Drosophila melanogaster: one gene and its partners. The protein of the gene in region 3 interacts with the protein of the main gene of each other region in a pairwise test. Each region holds a gene or a part of one and is shown on either strand. Other genes may lie near its edges.

The links. The genes of interacting proteins can lie anywhere in the genome.
Region 1: the proteins of Acp63F (region 3) and CG42709 interact in a two-hybrid assay, tested with the Drosophila melanogaster proteins (one large-scale study listed by BioGRID).
Region 2: the proteins of Acp63F (region 3) and CG10650 interact in a two-hybrid assay, tested with the Drosophila melanogaster proteins (one large-scale study listed by BioGRID).

What each region holds. Positions count from the first base shown.
Region 1 is NT_037436.4:12,788,505-12,796,191, forward strand, and holds CG42709 (uncharacterized protein), read left to right. Parts: upstream 1-1,687; 5' UTR 1,688-1,878; intron 1,879-2,713; exon of another isoform or gene 2,714-2,930; 5' UTR 2,931-3,076; coding exon 3,077-3,129; intron 3,130-5,311; coding exon 5,312-5,496; intron 5,497-5,557; coding exon 5,558-5,811; intron 5,812-5,876; coding exon 5,877-6,152; intron 6,153-6,292; coding exon 6,293-6,584; intron 6,585-6,658; coding exon 6,659-6,820; intron 6,821-6,953; coding exon 6,954-7,108; 3' UTR 7,109-7,580; downstream 7,581-7,687. Other genes in the region: Atg1 (Autophagy-related 1), read right to left, coding at 37-124.
Region 2 is NT_033779.5:18,992,860-18,997,589, forward strand, and holds CG10650 (uncharacterized protein), read right to left. Parts: upstream 3,076-4,730; 5' UTR 2,996-3,075; coding exon 2,920-2,995; intron 2,854-2,919; coding exon 2,743-2,853; intron 2,163-2,742; coding exon 1,278-2,162; intron 1,133-1,277; coding exon 927-1,132; 3' UTR 501-926; downstream 1-500. Other genes in the region: CG46465 (uncharacterized protein), read left to right, coding at 1-372.
Region 3 is NT_037436.4:3,814,008-3,817,953, forward strand, and holds Acp63F (accessory gland protein 63F), read right to left. Parts: upstream 2,348-3,946; 5' UTR 2,339-2,347; coding exon 2,311-2,338; intron 2,250-2,310; coding exon 2,094-2,249; intron 2,040-2,093; coding exon 1,978-2,039; 3' UTR 1,832-1,977; downstream 1-1,831. Other genes in the region: Scsalpha1 (Succinyl-coenzyme A synthetase alpha subunit 1), read left to right, coding at 312-348, 2,625-3,073, 3,430-3,714, 3,777-3,946. UniProt on the Drosophila melanogaster protein: Responsible for physiological and behavioral changes in mated female flies.

The DNA of each region.
Region 1 (7,687 bases), 9.0 Mb from region 3:
TAGGGCTACCCCTTATATAGGATTTTCGAATCTCACCTAGTTGCACGAGGAAGAGTCTAACGGTATCCTCGCTGAGCGTCCCCTTGACACTCAGATAATCCGCCAAGTCGCCGCCATTGCAATACTGTAAAGAGAAAGGATGAAGAGCGTGAGTGGAGCTGATTGGGAAATTAAATTAAGAGAGACCCCCACGAGTCAAGAGTTCAGCGCGCATATAAATCTTCTGGGACCCCAAAAGACCTCAAAAGCAGAATGCAACCCATGCAAACGAATTAAGTCCAATCAGTGCGAAAATGAAAGAGTCCCGAGATTTGATTCAGTCGGTCTTTCCATCTTTTAGCTTCCAGCTGCTCGCTCGACTTTTGTGCAAATCCCAGTCAATCATAGAAAACGGCAAGGTCAAAGCGAATATGATTTATGGCAATTTTCTGAATCAAGAACTGGAATTAGGGAAATATGTTTATGGATCAGCCCAGACAGCCAGCTGCTTTTCTTTTGTCGTTTGCCCAACAAAGGTTCTGTTCCGGTTTATGTCAGCAGATGCGGAGAAAGAGTTGGGGTAAAAATAAGCTATAGAATATTGAATATGCTAGGGGAATTTACACTTGGAATTTTAAATACACTTCCATGTAATCTTTAATCTTTGAAGTAAAGCACCAGTTAGGTTTTTTAAAAATGCCCGTTCACTGCAGTGATTTTTCCATACTCATTTGAGAATAATTAATAATTTTCTCTTTTAATATATAATATAATATAATATTATAATAATAAGCCATTGATAAAGTATATGATAGTGAATGCTAAACAAAAGGCAACAAAATGTTCAAATAAAATATAAACCTCTAAGCATTCGAAAACAGCAAAAAGGAATATCAGTTATCATGAAGAAGTTTTTGAAAAACTTGAAAATGAAAATAGAATATCCCGATATGGGAGAACTTTGTAAGCAGCCCTCGCTAAAATGTAAATGAAGAGAACGAACCCCTGTCTCTCCAAAATGCCGTTATATTTTTGGCCTGAGCAAGTTGCCTAAAAGGATTTGCGATTTTTGACCTTGAGGCCGCCAATCGAAGACATGACTATAGAATTCCACACGAACACAACCACCAAAAACCAACAAAAGTAATGTGCGCGGCGAACATTTTTATCCGCTTTTATGGATTTTTTGTTTTTCATGAGAAAATATATGGACCACTTACAGTTTAATGAGCAAACAAAGCAACATTAGGCAATTAAACAGCCAATTTGAAATGACAAAAGATTTCACTGCACTCGCTTTTTGTGAAATCGCTAAAATCGCCGAAGAGAAGCGAAGAGCGAAGAACATTAAACAAAAAGTCATTGACATGTAAAGTACATAAACATAAACATAAAAGTAAAAGTTTGAAGGAAATGGTGGAATACTCGCAACGAAGAGGGTTTTTCTTCCTCTGGGGCTTTTTAACAATTTCTAAATTATATGCAATGCCATTTCCCGGCAACAAGTGCCCATGAGTCAGCGATTTATTGAAAAATGCACTTGCGTAATTAATGGGCTTCTCTGTTTTTTCTTTCTTTTTTAAATATTATTTTGAAGAATCAAGTGTGAAGAGAGCGATTCGAAAGCTAAGAGAAGACTCTCTTCAGCCGCTCTATTTCAACTTACTCAATTTTTAAGCTCGCAACTTCTGCGGTTCCGTTCGCAGCTCATTCTCAAATCGACGGTGGCATGAGTCGCACGTTATCGCGCGACAACAAAAAGCCAAGTTAGCAAATCATTAAGTATAATTTAAACGCGATACTCCTCCATTCAGTAGAATTCGATGAGAAAACTCTCTAGTGTAATACCCAATTTAGTACATATATTATCGAGAAAAACGACGACGCGTGTCATTCGAAGTAAGCGCAGTGGACTAAAGGTCAACATATTCTAGGCGATAAAAAGAACGCTGCTGCTATACATTGTTCATCGCAATCACAACACAAAGACCTAGAAACGGGATTAAAACAAGAGTTTAACTTAGCACTCGGTGAAACAAATATTCAAACAAACTTTTCACTCAAATCACGTCCAATTTAATCGCTATGATTCAGCCAGCCAAGTGTTTCACATTTTTCCAGCAAATTATGTAAATAAACTGTGAAAGCTTCCCTTTTTTCATATCAAAAGGCGGGCCGACCGACTTATAAGTCAAGTCCAAAGCAAAGTTCATTACGATCGGCGTTAATTCTAATCAGACAAGTGTGTAATTAATTTTATTAATATTACAAGCCGTCCTAAAGATTTCTTTGTACTTCCAAATCTGCTGCTTAAGTTATTATGTTGAAAATATGGCAATTGAAATTTTAATTTCTAATGTGATGTAATGCTTATTAATTAAGATAGGATTACCCAAACCGATTAGCCTTTATTTACGGTGCTTAAAGTGTGAGTTTGCTCTTTCTGTTTTCATTGAAAACATGAATTCCATAATTGTTACTATTGATAATAATCGATTAGTAAGTCAGAAGTTGGTTAAAAGCTAAGCAGAAATCGCGAGGGTATGAGACAAAGCAATTAAATATTAAAAACTGATAAGATAACCACGGCTAAACATTAAACTTAACATGAGAGAGTTTGGAAGAGAGAGTGAGAGTAAAGAAAAAGAGATAATATTTGCCGCTCTTCGAAGCTCTCACACACACACCTGTTCAGTCAGTCGAACGGAATGGGAATTGTTGGCGAATTTTTGCTCATTCGAGAATCGGCAGCGAGTGGAAAAGTTTGTGCGAGCGGAGTGAAAAATAATTATTTTACTTTTGCCAAAAGTAAGCCGGCAAATGTAAATGGACATTAATCAACTTTGAAGCTGTAATTTCAAAGCAAAACAGATGAATATTAAAAGTGCAAAGTGAAACGAGAATAGCGGTGCAAAAATAGGCCCCTAACACCTAATAAAATCTATTTTCAGCTTGAAAATTTTCACATCAAGTTTGGCAAAAACGACGAAAATGCTATGAAAACCCTGAGATAAACACAAATACAAACAACACGACGCCTTGAAGACGCAGTGAAAACAAAGCTAAACAAATATCAGTAAACAAATAATTCATAATAATGCACGTGTACTACAAGTTTGGATTACTGCTGATATTTTTGCTAAGCGTGAGGTAAAAATCAAGTTGTAATAAATATTTACAGATCTCGATATGTGGAGAAATCACATTTGTTATTCTTATGGGGCTGGAAAATAAGTAATCCATTTATTTATAGAAATCAGTAGACCCTTTCCTAAAAACGAAAAACAGGGAAGACACGGGGCAAAGTTTCCGTTTAGCAACATTCGCAGTGATTAATTCACTAAAAACGAAATAACGACAGGTGAACCAGGGTAACGGGACTTTGACCCGCCCACAACTGAGATATCAATGCCAAATGGAATACTCACGCATGGGGTTATAAAAAAAAAACAGCAACATTTTATTGATAGTCCACGGCAACCGCTCTTAATTGCCGCCTTTAATATATATATAAGGTGCACGAATTTACACTCTACTTAATCATATCGCATAATCTGGTTCTGATAAAAATAATAACAATTCCCCGGTTGTCCGATAATTTATACCGTTATTGCTTATCAAATTGTTTGCTCAGCGTTTTGAATTTCTCAACCAATATCTCAAGCAATATTGCAAATGACATAGAAATTTATAACTGTCTCGATTTTCAGATTTTTCTTTTAATTTACAACTGAAACGAGGTTTAGACATTATCGATTATGTATAAATATTCTATATTCTTGCCCTAAAAAAAATCTTTTTAAATACTTCTGAGTTTTAAAACCTAAGATAAAATTCTTTAATCGTTCTTTGCATGTTAGTACTAGTATAATTTTCCCAGTGCACATAAGCCCATTTCTCTATTGATTTTTGGGCCTTTTTAAACCTTTTCAGCCACTCGAAATCAAATGTCAAAGTAGAGTGCTTTTAAGTGCGACGCTTCCAATTTTAGTCACTTCATTCAAGTAGTCAAGGGAATTACGTCGACTAGGTCGTCATGCTTAGTAACAGTTTAGAGATCTTTCGTAATACCCATTAACTTCGGCGAGCAGCTGAAGCTTGAAGGCAATTCGTAACGTTCGATAAATATATCTTTATTATCCGGTAGGACTATATACCAATTAATAGCTACATATCAGCACTTGCGGTTCAAGTACTCGACTCTATAAAGTCGTTCATTCTGTTCATTTTGGCACTTTTAAGGATTGACAAGGCTCCTCAGCAGCATTCATTGAAACTTCACTCAAAAGTCACGCAATTGAAGAGAACTCTACATGGCAGTCAAAAGACTCACTTGAACTACTCTACTAGCCAATTTACACCTTTTTTTCTAAAAGTAAATACAACCCACTAGAACTGAAGTCGCCGAATGCACGGATAACGAACGATTTAGAATCAGACAAAAAAAAAAATGAAGAGGGGTCACAAATGACAGCAAAAAAATAAAATAAATCTGAAAAAAGTGAGAGTAAACGAAATCGTAAACTAAAACCGGTCGAGTTGTCTCTTTTGCCATGAAGTAAACTGGTTTCATCTGTGCTTTTTACTGAGTAGCTACAGTACGTTTCGAAAATGTAAGGTCAGTTAACAGAAACAAATAAACAACTTTACAGACAATAAAAGTGCTTGAGTTACAATAAAAGAAATGTGTGCTTTCTTTATTTTCTTTAGCTTGAAAGTATATCTATTTGATTTTACTTTATTCTTAAAAAACGAAAGGCAAAATATATTTTACAATATATGCATAATCTAATGAATTGCATTAAGAAGCCTTGTATCATTGAATACTTTTAATTCATTTAAGGGCTATTGCTGTGACCACGACTGTAGCGAGAAATACTTTGTATGTAGGCTTGTTCGCACATGTGAGTGTATTCATTCATGTTCTTTCGCGGAGCAAACATAAACAATAGCCGTATAATGATAGTGGGGAAAACGAATGTTTCTGTGTGGCTATGGCGTGGTCATAACGATATGGGTCAAGAGCGTTTTCAGGACAAATTAGCTAGGTGTGTTCGCCTTCAAGACGTGAGTGATGTAAGCACGTACCGCTTAGAACCCACCGACAATCTAAAGCCAAATATTGACAATTTTGGGTATTTGGTAAAACCACTTAACGAATTCGTACAGTAATTGCTCTATCAGAAATGCGCATTCGTTTGACATATAATTGCCCTGCGTTTTTCTTCATAAGCAATGTGAATTCGTTTATAAGTCGTGGAAAAAACCAAATTGGTATATTGTTGGTTTATTCAGTCGAGACCGGAAAATAATTTAATGATTACTCTTACAGCATCAGCCACACAAATGCCGCTCCAGCGGGCAGTGAGGAGGCAAATCCCCTCGAGGACTTTAATTACGGCGATGATGACTACAGTGAAACAGCGACGGGCGAGGAATCGCCGGAGACAGCAGAAAATAGACTGATGCCACAATCATCCTCCACATCGACCACCACCACATTTCGACCAATATTTAGTGAGCATAACATAAATCTATATATTCCGAACTGAAAAGGCTAATGAATATCGTTTTGCAGATATACCACGACGCAGCAACCATGTCCTGGAGCCCAGTTGCCCGCGCAACTGCCTCTGCCTGGAGGACTTCAAGTTCGTTCAGTGTGCCAATGCCCATTTGACCCATGTACCCCTGGACATGCCCAAAACGGCGGCCATCATCGATCTGAGCCATAATGTGATTGCCGAACTGAGGCCGGAGGATTTTGCCAATCTGTCCAGGGCGGTGGAAATCAATTTGAATCACAATCTGATCAGCAGCATAGACAAGGATGTAAGTGCCCAGCTAATTCTACTAATTAGATAAATTGTAACTAATGTGCTTATTATCTATTGTAGGTCTTTCAGGGATCGGAGCGTTTGAAGCGCCTGCGGCTGGCCAACAACCGTCTAACCAAAATCGATCCCGACACCTTTGCGGCGGCCAAGGAACTAACGCTACTCGATTTGAGCAACAACACCATAACCCAGCGCCTGGACGGATCCTTCTTGAACCAGCCCGACTTGGTGGAGTTCAGCTGCGTCAACTGCAGCTGGACGGAACTGCCGGAACAGACGTTCCAGAACATGAGTGGCCTGGAGGTGTTGCGCTTGAACAAGAACGATTTTAAACAGGTAAGAATGGCGAGCCAAAAGTGCGATAGCACAAGTTATCGCTCTATCGATAGTTGGCGCAACTGAAGCCAAAACAGCTGTGTTTGCCATCGCGCAGTTGTCTATATAGTTGTCCCGCTCACGCTTTTCCATTCCGACAGCAAATCAATACGAAAGCTTTCTCGCCGCTAACAAAAATAATTAAACTGAAGCTGCCGGAACTGGAACAACAGAACATCGAGGAGCTGTGCAGCCTGCTGACCTCCATCGACACGATTAGCTTCCTCAACTACGACATCAGCTGCTACGAATTCGTACTGGGCACCCCCTTCAACGGCAGTCTCATCTATCCCACGGAGCCGCCGCTCAAGGGGATTACAAATCCGCCCATCGTCGCCAGCATCACCAGCACTGCAAAGCCAGTGACCGCCACACCCGCACCGCCCAGAAGTGGTGAGCTATTTCCCATGACTCGTAGATCATCTTGCTAACGTGTCTGTTGCTCACCTCCCATTGTTCGCATTTAGCCAATCGCAATCGGGGCAAAATGGACAACAGCACGGAGCTGGTCAAAGCCGGAATCCTGAGCTCCGAGACCAGCACAAGCGGAGTCAGCGTGGAGCCGCCTGCCGAGAGCCAGACCAATCAGGTGCAGATCTCCCAGGAGGCCATCAACACGCTGCTCATCTGTGAGTACAAACTGCGGTTTAAGGTTTATAACATCAACTATTTTAAGCATCTTGCTAAACAGTTATAGTTTGAGTTATACACCTTTTACTTGCGGTACAAAACCAGACTAATTTGTTCAATTTAATCCACTAGGCATCATGGTTCTGGCCGTGATTGGCATCGTCATCGGACTCATTTGCCGCCAGGATATTGGCGGCATCAAAACCAAATGCTGCCGCACTAGCAAACCAGAGCCAAAGGATCAGGTTCATCCCACTGAGGAGATACCACTGAATAAGCTAGCCTAAGAAAACTTTCCAAAACAAACCGAAACCAAACGATCGAAGATGAAAAGAGAATCCTATCCTTCTCCTCCAGTTTCGAGAACAAATTCCATTTTGACGGCATTTTTGATAGATTATAAATAGGTATATGTATATCACGTATGTATATGGCTAGTTAGTTAACTACTTTGACGCGGTATCTAGCCTAACTATATAGTCTCTCCTACAATGTTTCCCGCACAACAACTGAACCGAATCCGTTGTTAGATTCTAGTTGTTAGTCGGAGTAGGTTAAGCCGCCTAGTCGCTTAGCGTTCTGTTCTTTAGGGGGACTCGGTAAATGGGATCCCGCACCAAAACTCCTGGCACTGTTCTAGTTTTAGATCCCAAAATCAATTTTCATCGCAACACTTAAATTAATGTAAACCCATAGATACACTAGTTGTTAGCTTTAGACTTTTGCCAAAATACAATAAAAGTAATTATTGTACATAGTAAAAAAAAAGAAAACCATTGTTTTGAATTATGAAACCAAAAGATTAAAAAGATTACATCTGATAGACTTGATTATTTACCTATATACTCTCCTCATATCACATTCCT
Region 2 (4,730 bases), on a different chromosome or scaffold from region 3:
TGTAAATTTTGCTCACCCAATGAGGGGAAAACCAGAACTAGGAAGGGCAAAAAGATGTGCCACATAAAGTTAGGCGAATTGAACGGTTGCGTATCTATGTACTTCAACTTCAACAGCAGTGCTGGAGGACCAGATGGCTTTATGGTGAGAAGCTGCATTTCCGACATGGACGAGAGTTCACTGGAACACTGCGAGAAACATGCAGAACTCTGTGAGAGGTGTTTCGAAGACGATTGCAACTATGTGGAAATAGATAAAAATGGTTTGGCCACGAATGCAGGATCGCGAATAATATACTCAAGTCTAATGATCTTCTGTTTAGCCGGCTGGCTCTTTAGGAGTGAAAAATGCAAACTTATGATTATATTATAGGCCTGTTCAGCTTAATAATGGCAAATTGAAAACCAAAATTATGGAATTCGGCGAAATCACCATCGTCATGTAATGGAAAATGTAATTTGAGTTACCTAAGAATGCTACAAATACTTTCTGAGACATTTCCAACTGGCTCTTCTAGTGCACCCAAACAAATTTCTTCGAACTATTGTTAATATAAACTCTCATTTTGATTGATGCAATAAATATACACACATATATGTACAAAGTATATTATTAATGGTACTGCGGTTGATAAGGCGTTGTGATTATTTCTTTATTTGATAAGGCCTAGCAGGTTGAAAACTCTTTTACCACTAGCCATCAATGAAAACAGGGTTTTCCAAGGACATAATTACTAAACTACTGTGAAAGAGTAATTGTTTTATTAAAATGATTTATTTGGGATTATGGAAGTGTTCTTAAAATGCTTCAGCTCCTATAATTAGGTTATGTCTTTTTGTCTGTTGCTTTGTAATAGTTAACATTACTCATAGACCCAGGCACCCGGTAATTTGATTGGATCATCCAACTACGTGGAGGTGGTTGGATTACAGGGCACTGCGTAGAGCGATCACCACTCCCGTCAGAAGGCCGACCACGCCCACATTCCTGAGTGCGCCTGCTCCATTGAAGGGTACCTTGTTGCACTTGCTCTCCGTACACAATTCGCACTGATGGGCCTCCACTTTGGCATTGCACTGGTACTGCATCAGGTGGCTGGCAGCGGTAAAACATCCTCGCACTCCAAGTTCATCTGGGGGAAAATGTTGAAAGGCAATTGTTAGGATTTTTGCTGGCATAATAATAATGCAATTTGGGAATACCCTTTTACATTATAAAATAAAATCTTTGAAAACTATAGCATTGATTCGCTGTGCTTAGACTTGGTACCAACTTACTCCAGACTCCGCTGTAGCACGTTCCATTGGGGCAGTTGATCAAAGGGAGCGTGTCCGGATATTTGGCCGACCAGCAGCCGGAAACCTCATTCGAAATGCATGTAATGCACTGGAACTCGCCGGCAGCCACATTGCAGCCATTTTCGGAGCAGGAAGTGCAGGCATTGGTTGTAGAGCAGCCAGCCTCCAAGGTGTTTAGGCACCCTCGGGTAACATTGGTTCCTGAGGTCATGGTATAACACCCGACTTCCTGGTTGTACTTGGCCTGTCCGCAGGACTTCGCATTGGTAGCAACCTGTTGCTCCGCACAGTTCTCGCAAATGATACAGGAACCGGCCTCTCGTTCGTAGGTCGGACTATTGCAAAAGTCGGAGTTGCAGACGAGGCAACTGGGATCAGTGCTGTCCGACGCACACTTGATTTCCGTGGTGGCCGATGTGCAACCACGGGTCATGTTGCTCGCAGACGTTCCGGTGGTGAAGCACCCGGCATCGATTTGACTACATCCCGCGACCAAGGTATTTGAGACCGCATTGCAGTTCTCTCCTGAGCAATTATAGCACTGGCGACGATTGGCGGGGAATAGTCCCACATTGCACAGGGATGCCGAGCATGAGGAGCACGTGGATTCCGTTCCAGCAGCACAGGGGTCACCACATTGACGGGTCACCGTCTTGTTGTCATTCAACTGATTCACGCAGACCTGTCCATTATTGGGGCACACTGCATTGTATTGCGTATCCGTCACGTTGGTCGTGGCGCAATTCGCTTCGCCGAGGCACTGCTGGCACACCAAATTCAAATTGCAATTGTCTTCCTTGCAGGTCGAGCAGGATGGTAAGGTGCACGCAGTGCCATTAATCAAGCAGCCACGAGTTAGAGTTCCTATTGGGATACAGAAAATCAATAACTAGATGCAAGGGAATATGGTTCAGAGCAAAACTTCGTATGATTTCTAATATAAACTTATAATGATTTCTAATATAACTTATATATTCCTTATAAGTTGAGAGCCTGCAGATTCTAGTGGCGCCTAAGCTGTGCTAATTTCATTCAGATCATTTTCACGCCCACTCTAAAGCCCACAAAGCGTGCCAGATTCTACTGATACTTCAACAGAATGTTTAAATGTGTACCTTAAACTCCCACAAGCTGAATAAAGAGGTATCTGATGGTCGAGTGACTCCACTTTAGCGTTCTCTTCGTTATTAAATCAAATTATACGCAATATTTAAATCTTAGACAACAACACGAAAAAGCCAGGTAGTGCAGTAACTGCCAAATGAGTCACAACATCATAAACCTTTTTCGATCCGCACGAAATTAGAAAAGAAAACAAGGATCAATAGCTATCAAAAAGAAAAAGAGATAATCGCTTATCACCTTTGGTTGCACTGATCGATAAGAGGGCCACTACCCCCGTCTAAGAATATGAAATAGTCGGTCATGAGTCATACAAACCCACCTGCGTTAATAAGAGTATAGCATTCATTATCACACTCTATAGAAGTTTGAGTAGATGGACTCGTTAAACAATTTCCAGTGTCATTCGTCGTCGATGTGCACGAATAGCACTCTGCAATGGCAATAATAATTTGAAGTAAGTCATTTGAAAAAACTCATCCAAAATGTGGTAACCTACGGAGGGCTGAGGTGCTGTCCAGCTGGCTGGCAATGAAAGCTGCTATCACAATCATACACAGGCTGTATTCTCTCATGGCTCTCGGTTTTCTATTCTTTCTGGCTTCTCAACTGAAATGTCGGACCGGCTGGATCGACCACCGTTTTTTAACTGGCTCCCTCACTGTTTGGCCATATTTTTTTTACCCCCATTCGCATAATCAATTTCACCTGAACTCACTAACACCTGCCAAGCTCTTCTCCGCATGCAGTGGTTATCTGCTCTACACACATATATATGTTTGTATACATATATATATATATATATATATATATGTACAATCGGAGGAAGTCAGTTCTCTTTTAGCTGATAACTTCAATACCCAGGTGTAAATGTGCAAGTGTGTGTGTGTACAACGCTGTTCACATGCGATGATAGTTACCACAAGCCTGCATTTACTTTGGAGCTTTTGCAAAAGCTGAAAAATTAACCCATGCTGCCAACGTTCTTACCGTATTTCCTTAAACGAATATACATCAACAGTAACTTCCTGTTTCCGATCTAGCCGGCGGATAATTGAACACAATTATAACGATAATTAAATACTTTAATTAAAATTTGGTTTGCCTTGGCTGTACGGCAGTTATATGATATATTTTCTTTTGATTTTCATCAAATTAAAATATGGTCAAAAACTGTTGTATATCTCATACATATATTAATACTTACCATTATTTTTCGATTATCCCTATAACAGCAATATGATATAGTGGTCCAACCTATATGTATACTAACTGAAATTGAACGAAGACAAACATGACTGTATCGACTCTACTGTTGAATATACGAATCTGAATGAAATCAATGTACCATTTGCAAGGGTATAAAAATAAAAGGCGCCACCAAAAACTGCATGAATAATCTCAATTTCCAGATTTTACAGGTTCGACAAACTTTCCATTTGATTATGGATTGACTATAGTTCCATTGATAAAAAAAATAATGTAATTTGAACTAACAAGAAAGAACTCAATTCCTATCAGATACCCAGATTTAATTGAATAAATACACATTTGTAGGGTCAAAAACACTTTCTTGTTTCATAGTTTTTAACCCTTATATTCTACGAGGAAAGTGTACAATTATATATGTAAAGCTGTATTGCCCAATTTTCTGGCTAATAACATATAAACAATGTGCCTTAACTACAAGTCATATATCTTAACGATACTTGAGGATTGAAGTGAGACTTTTGTTTATATGTGAACGTTCGTTCTCAAGTTTATAATTTCGGTTACTCGTTCTTGAACTTATGTGTTTGCTTTTAAGTTTTTTTTTTTTTTATCGTTCGTTCCTAATTTAATATCGAAACTTAATTTTTCTCTCAGTGTCTTAATAAAAATTATTATTATTTATTGTATTTGGGCGACTTCTTAAATTCTGCACATGCCGGTGTTTTATGTTATTAAGGTTTAAGTTGAAGTCTAGACAAAATGATTCAATAAAACAAAGTACAAATAGTAAGTACATACTTTTATATCTTTTTATCTTTAGCATATCATTTAAGGTTTTTTTGAACCAGACTGGTATTCAACATAAAGCCATTATCTTCAAAAAATATAACCGAAATCTAATCTGGGTTATCTCCGGCGAATTTAGCACCGAGAGCTAATCATGTTGCTCACACTCAGTACCTTTAAGATCTTTTCTACGCGCGGACGTATTGCTGTTTAGTTGAATTTCTGGCATTGCAATTTAATAAATTAGTTCGTTGGAAAGCATGTTATACGTTGAAAAGTGCAAGTGACTTCAAGCCTAGAAGGTATAAATAT
Region 3 (3,946 bases):
AACATTAATTTTCGACGTTTCTTATTTTTTTTTTTTTAATTATCTTTTTAAAATATTTAGCTAATTACATTTTCATAGAACAGCTGTTTGAAATGTAACTGTTCAACTTTCTAATCGATTTGTGGAATACCCCGATTGTAACTTATCGCAGCTAAAATATCGATGGTGTGTCGTAAGCCTTTGCAGTCGCTCTATCGATACTATCGCAGTGGTTAACTCAGCACTATTCGGCCGATTTCGCACTGCATTAATTAAACGCGTTTTAATTGAGTAAAGCTGTTTTTATCGCACAACCACCACACACAGATAATATGGCTGCTTCAATGAGGGCGCTGCTGAAAGTGCGAGGTGCGTATTCTCCACATCGGTTGCCTAACACGCCCGATAGCCTAACAGCATAATAAATTATATAACTTCAATGGATTTACGGCACCAAAAGAACAAATATCCAAGCAATTAGGGAGCACCTGTCGTTCCGACGCATCTGCTGATTAGTCGGCCTCCATTCGGATTAATAAGCGGCTCAATTTGCGAATCCGCAGATACGTGGCTTTGAAATGATTAAAGAGGGGGAGTGCGGGGGTTGTGTTCAAGGTTCGCTTGCATGTGACCCAGCGTACAAACAACCGTTTTTTTTCGGCAACAAGTACAGTGGAACACCGCTTTGGTGACCATCACTTTTTAACTTTTCTCGTAGTGGATATACGTGTATACTTTTAATTTAATAGTTCAAACAAATAATTGCTGCAAGCATTTGCCTTCGTCAAAAAGTTATTTAATTCTAATTTAGTTTGGGATATTTTTTCCAAGCTCCGATCTATATTTATGAATATTTGCCCTTAGGGCATTTGGCATGAATTACTTTTTTGAGTTCTGAAAGCATGGATAAACTTAGTATCGTTCTAAAAGTCAAACTGGTCAGACCTACCTGGCAAACCATTTACTTTACGAAAGCAGACTTCGGTCTTCAGGAAGCTGGCAGTAAGGAAGGTATAGTGGCAATCCGCTGTTATTCCGCACCATGGATCTGCTTTCACCGTAGCTGAATTGGGGGGTTCAAGAACTTTTGGCATTCTTCAACAGTTAGGACACCATTGACTTCTATCATTGTTACAACTGTCACAGGGATGAAACCATACCATGTTTATAGGTATATTCCCATTAAATCTTAGGTAACTCACTGAGTATAAGGATATATCCGAAAATCTTCATGGTGAGATTGAGATTGAATGTTTCGCAAGTGTTGCAGGGTTTTACAAAGATTAGCTGCTAATTACCGAAACATGTCGTATTTAAGGCGATTAAAGCAACAGGTGTGGAATTTCTTAACAAATGTCAAGGCCACAAAAGGCGGTGTTTCTAAACTTTAGATTACATAGATTTTTAAAATGGTAAAAATGAAGAGTTAAATCTTTATTGAAAGTGATCAAGGATATAAAATGCCTTATAATATAAAAAAGTTATTTTCCTTATCTAGTTTTCCTGCATCTGGGTTTACCCCGGGGACACCTTCCGGCCTTGATTTTCAGAAATACTGGACATGTAAATAAGGTTAGGCGAACTGAATACGATAATTGAATTGAACCTACGAGGCTTTCCCAGTTCAGTCAGTTTGCACTGCTCTTGTCCAACGTGCAAAAGACTCAAGCCTTGGAAGTTACAGGTAGCGGCAAACGCGCAGAATGGACTTCCAGCTTTTATAAATCCTTCACAGACACTCTTTCCATTCGCAGTCTCGAATATATTCATAACTGCAGTGGTTGAATAGTTCAGAACGTATGTATTTACTCGCAGTTTCTTGCGTAGAAACTCACTCAGAAATAATAAGAAGCTCAAAGCTTTCATAATCGCACGCAGATTGAGTAGTTTACATATAATTTAATGCTTTAAAATGCTTCTCAGAAGAATTATAGAATATAGGTATTTATAATGCCTTTAATTGAAACATATATGCATGGAAATATTGGAACAATATTACTATTTTAACGAGCAACGCGGTTTACCATGGAGACATTTTCCGGGAATTAGTTCGATGAATCCTAAACGAATCGATTAAGTTTTCTGAAACACAAAAGGTGTCAACAATTACCCACCTGGTTTTCCGTTTTCTTTGCGTTCACACGACACCCTTTTGAGGTAACTTGGATTTGGACCATCTAAGTTACAATCGGGAAGTATTCCGCAGTGAGGATCAAGATTTAGATAAATTGCTTGGTTGCATTTGCTCATAGCATGCACACTTGAAATGACTAAAGGGGATGTAAAAGTAAAACAATTTCGGTTAGCAACATAAGCTCCAAAAAAACTCACACAGAATAAAAACGATGATAGCTTTCATCTTGCAAAGCGACTGATATTCTTAAAGAAAATACTCAACTTAAATAGATCTATATATGGCATGAGTTCTGGAACATATTCCATTCGATCTAGAAAATCAATTATGTGTACTTGGAAAATGGGCAAGAAATATAGGAATTTAATAAATAATAAACCTTTCTCGAACGTTACGCAAATGAAATTATCATGTAACTATGTAAGTTTACACTTGCAGGCTGGTTTATTAATATCCAAAATACTAAATTTCCAACTTTAGTCCTAAAATGATTCATTCTTACATTTTTCAGATGGCTTCGTGGCCGGAGTGCGCTGCAATTCGCAGTACAACAAGACGCGCGGCAACTTGAAGCTGAACGGCGATTCGCGGGTGATCTGCCAGGGATTCACCGGCAAACAGGGCACGTTCCACAGCCAACAGGCTCTGGAGTACGGCACCAAGTTGGTCGGCGGCATTTCCCCCAAGAAGGGAGGCACCCAGCATCTGGGACTGCCCGTCTTCGCTTCGGTGGCGGAGGCCAAGAAGGCCACCGATCCACATGCCACCGTCATCTATGTGCCACCACCGGGCGCTGCGGCCGCCATCATCGAGGCTCTGGAAGCGGAGATCCCCCTGATCGTTTGCATTACGGAGGGTGTGCCGCAGCACGACATGGTGAAGGTGAAGCACGCCCTCATCAGCCAGAGCAAGTCGCGATTGGTGGGTCCCAACTGCCCGGGAATCATCGCCCCCGAACAGGTTCGTACATCTCCAGCGCTTGAGAGATAAGCTTGGCCAGAGGGCAAAGTCCACGTTCATCTGGTGGTTTTCTTATCTCTTGGTATGACGCTCGCTTTGAACTACATATATCTGTTTACTATTCCGTTTTCAATTTGCTTATTGTTAATGTATAAACAGGCCTCCATTGACACACCCTTAAATTTGGGCATTGAACTTTGCACCTGAAGTTGGTGGAATTTGCGGACGATACGTTTTTTATTACCATTTATAACGCTTATCTTTCTATGCGTCACAAAACTTAGTGATTACCCACTTCACTCCACTTTCAGTTAAGTCAATTGTATAATCTTAAACTATGTTTTTTCTGATTGCAGTGCAAGATCGGCATCATGCCGGGTCACATTCACAAGCGCGGCAAGATCGGCGTGGTCTCGCGCTCGGGAACCTTGACCTACGAGGCCGTGCACCAGACCACGGAGGTGGGTCTGGGCCAGACCCTGTGCGTGGGCATTGGAGGCGATCCGTTCAACGGAACCGACTTCATCGACTGCCTGGAGGTCTTCCTCAAGGATCCCGAGACCAAGGGCATCATCCTGATCGGCGAGATCGGAGGCGTTGCCGAGGAGAAGGCTGCCGACTACCTGACCGAGTACAATTCGGTATGAGAAGCCATCACGGATCAATGTATTTCATTGCTAAATGTTTTTGTATCCTATTGCAGGGCATCAAGGCCAAGCCTGTCGTCTCGTTCATTGCCGGAGTGTCGGCGCCACCCGGCCGTCGCATGGGTCACGCTGGAGCCATCATTTCCGGAGGAAAGGGAGGTGCCAACGACAAGATCGCCGCCCTGGAGAAGGCCGGCGTCATTGTGACCAGGAGTCCTGCCAAAAT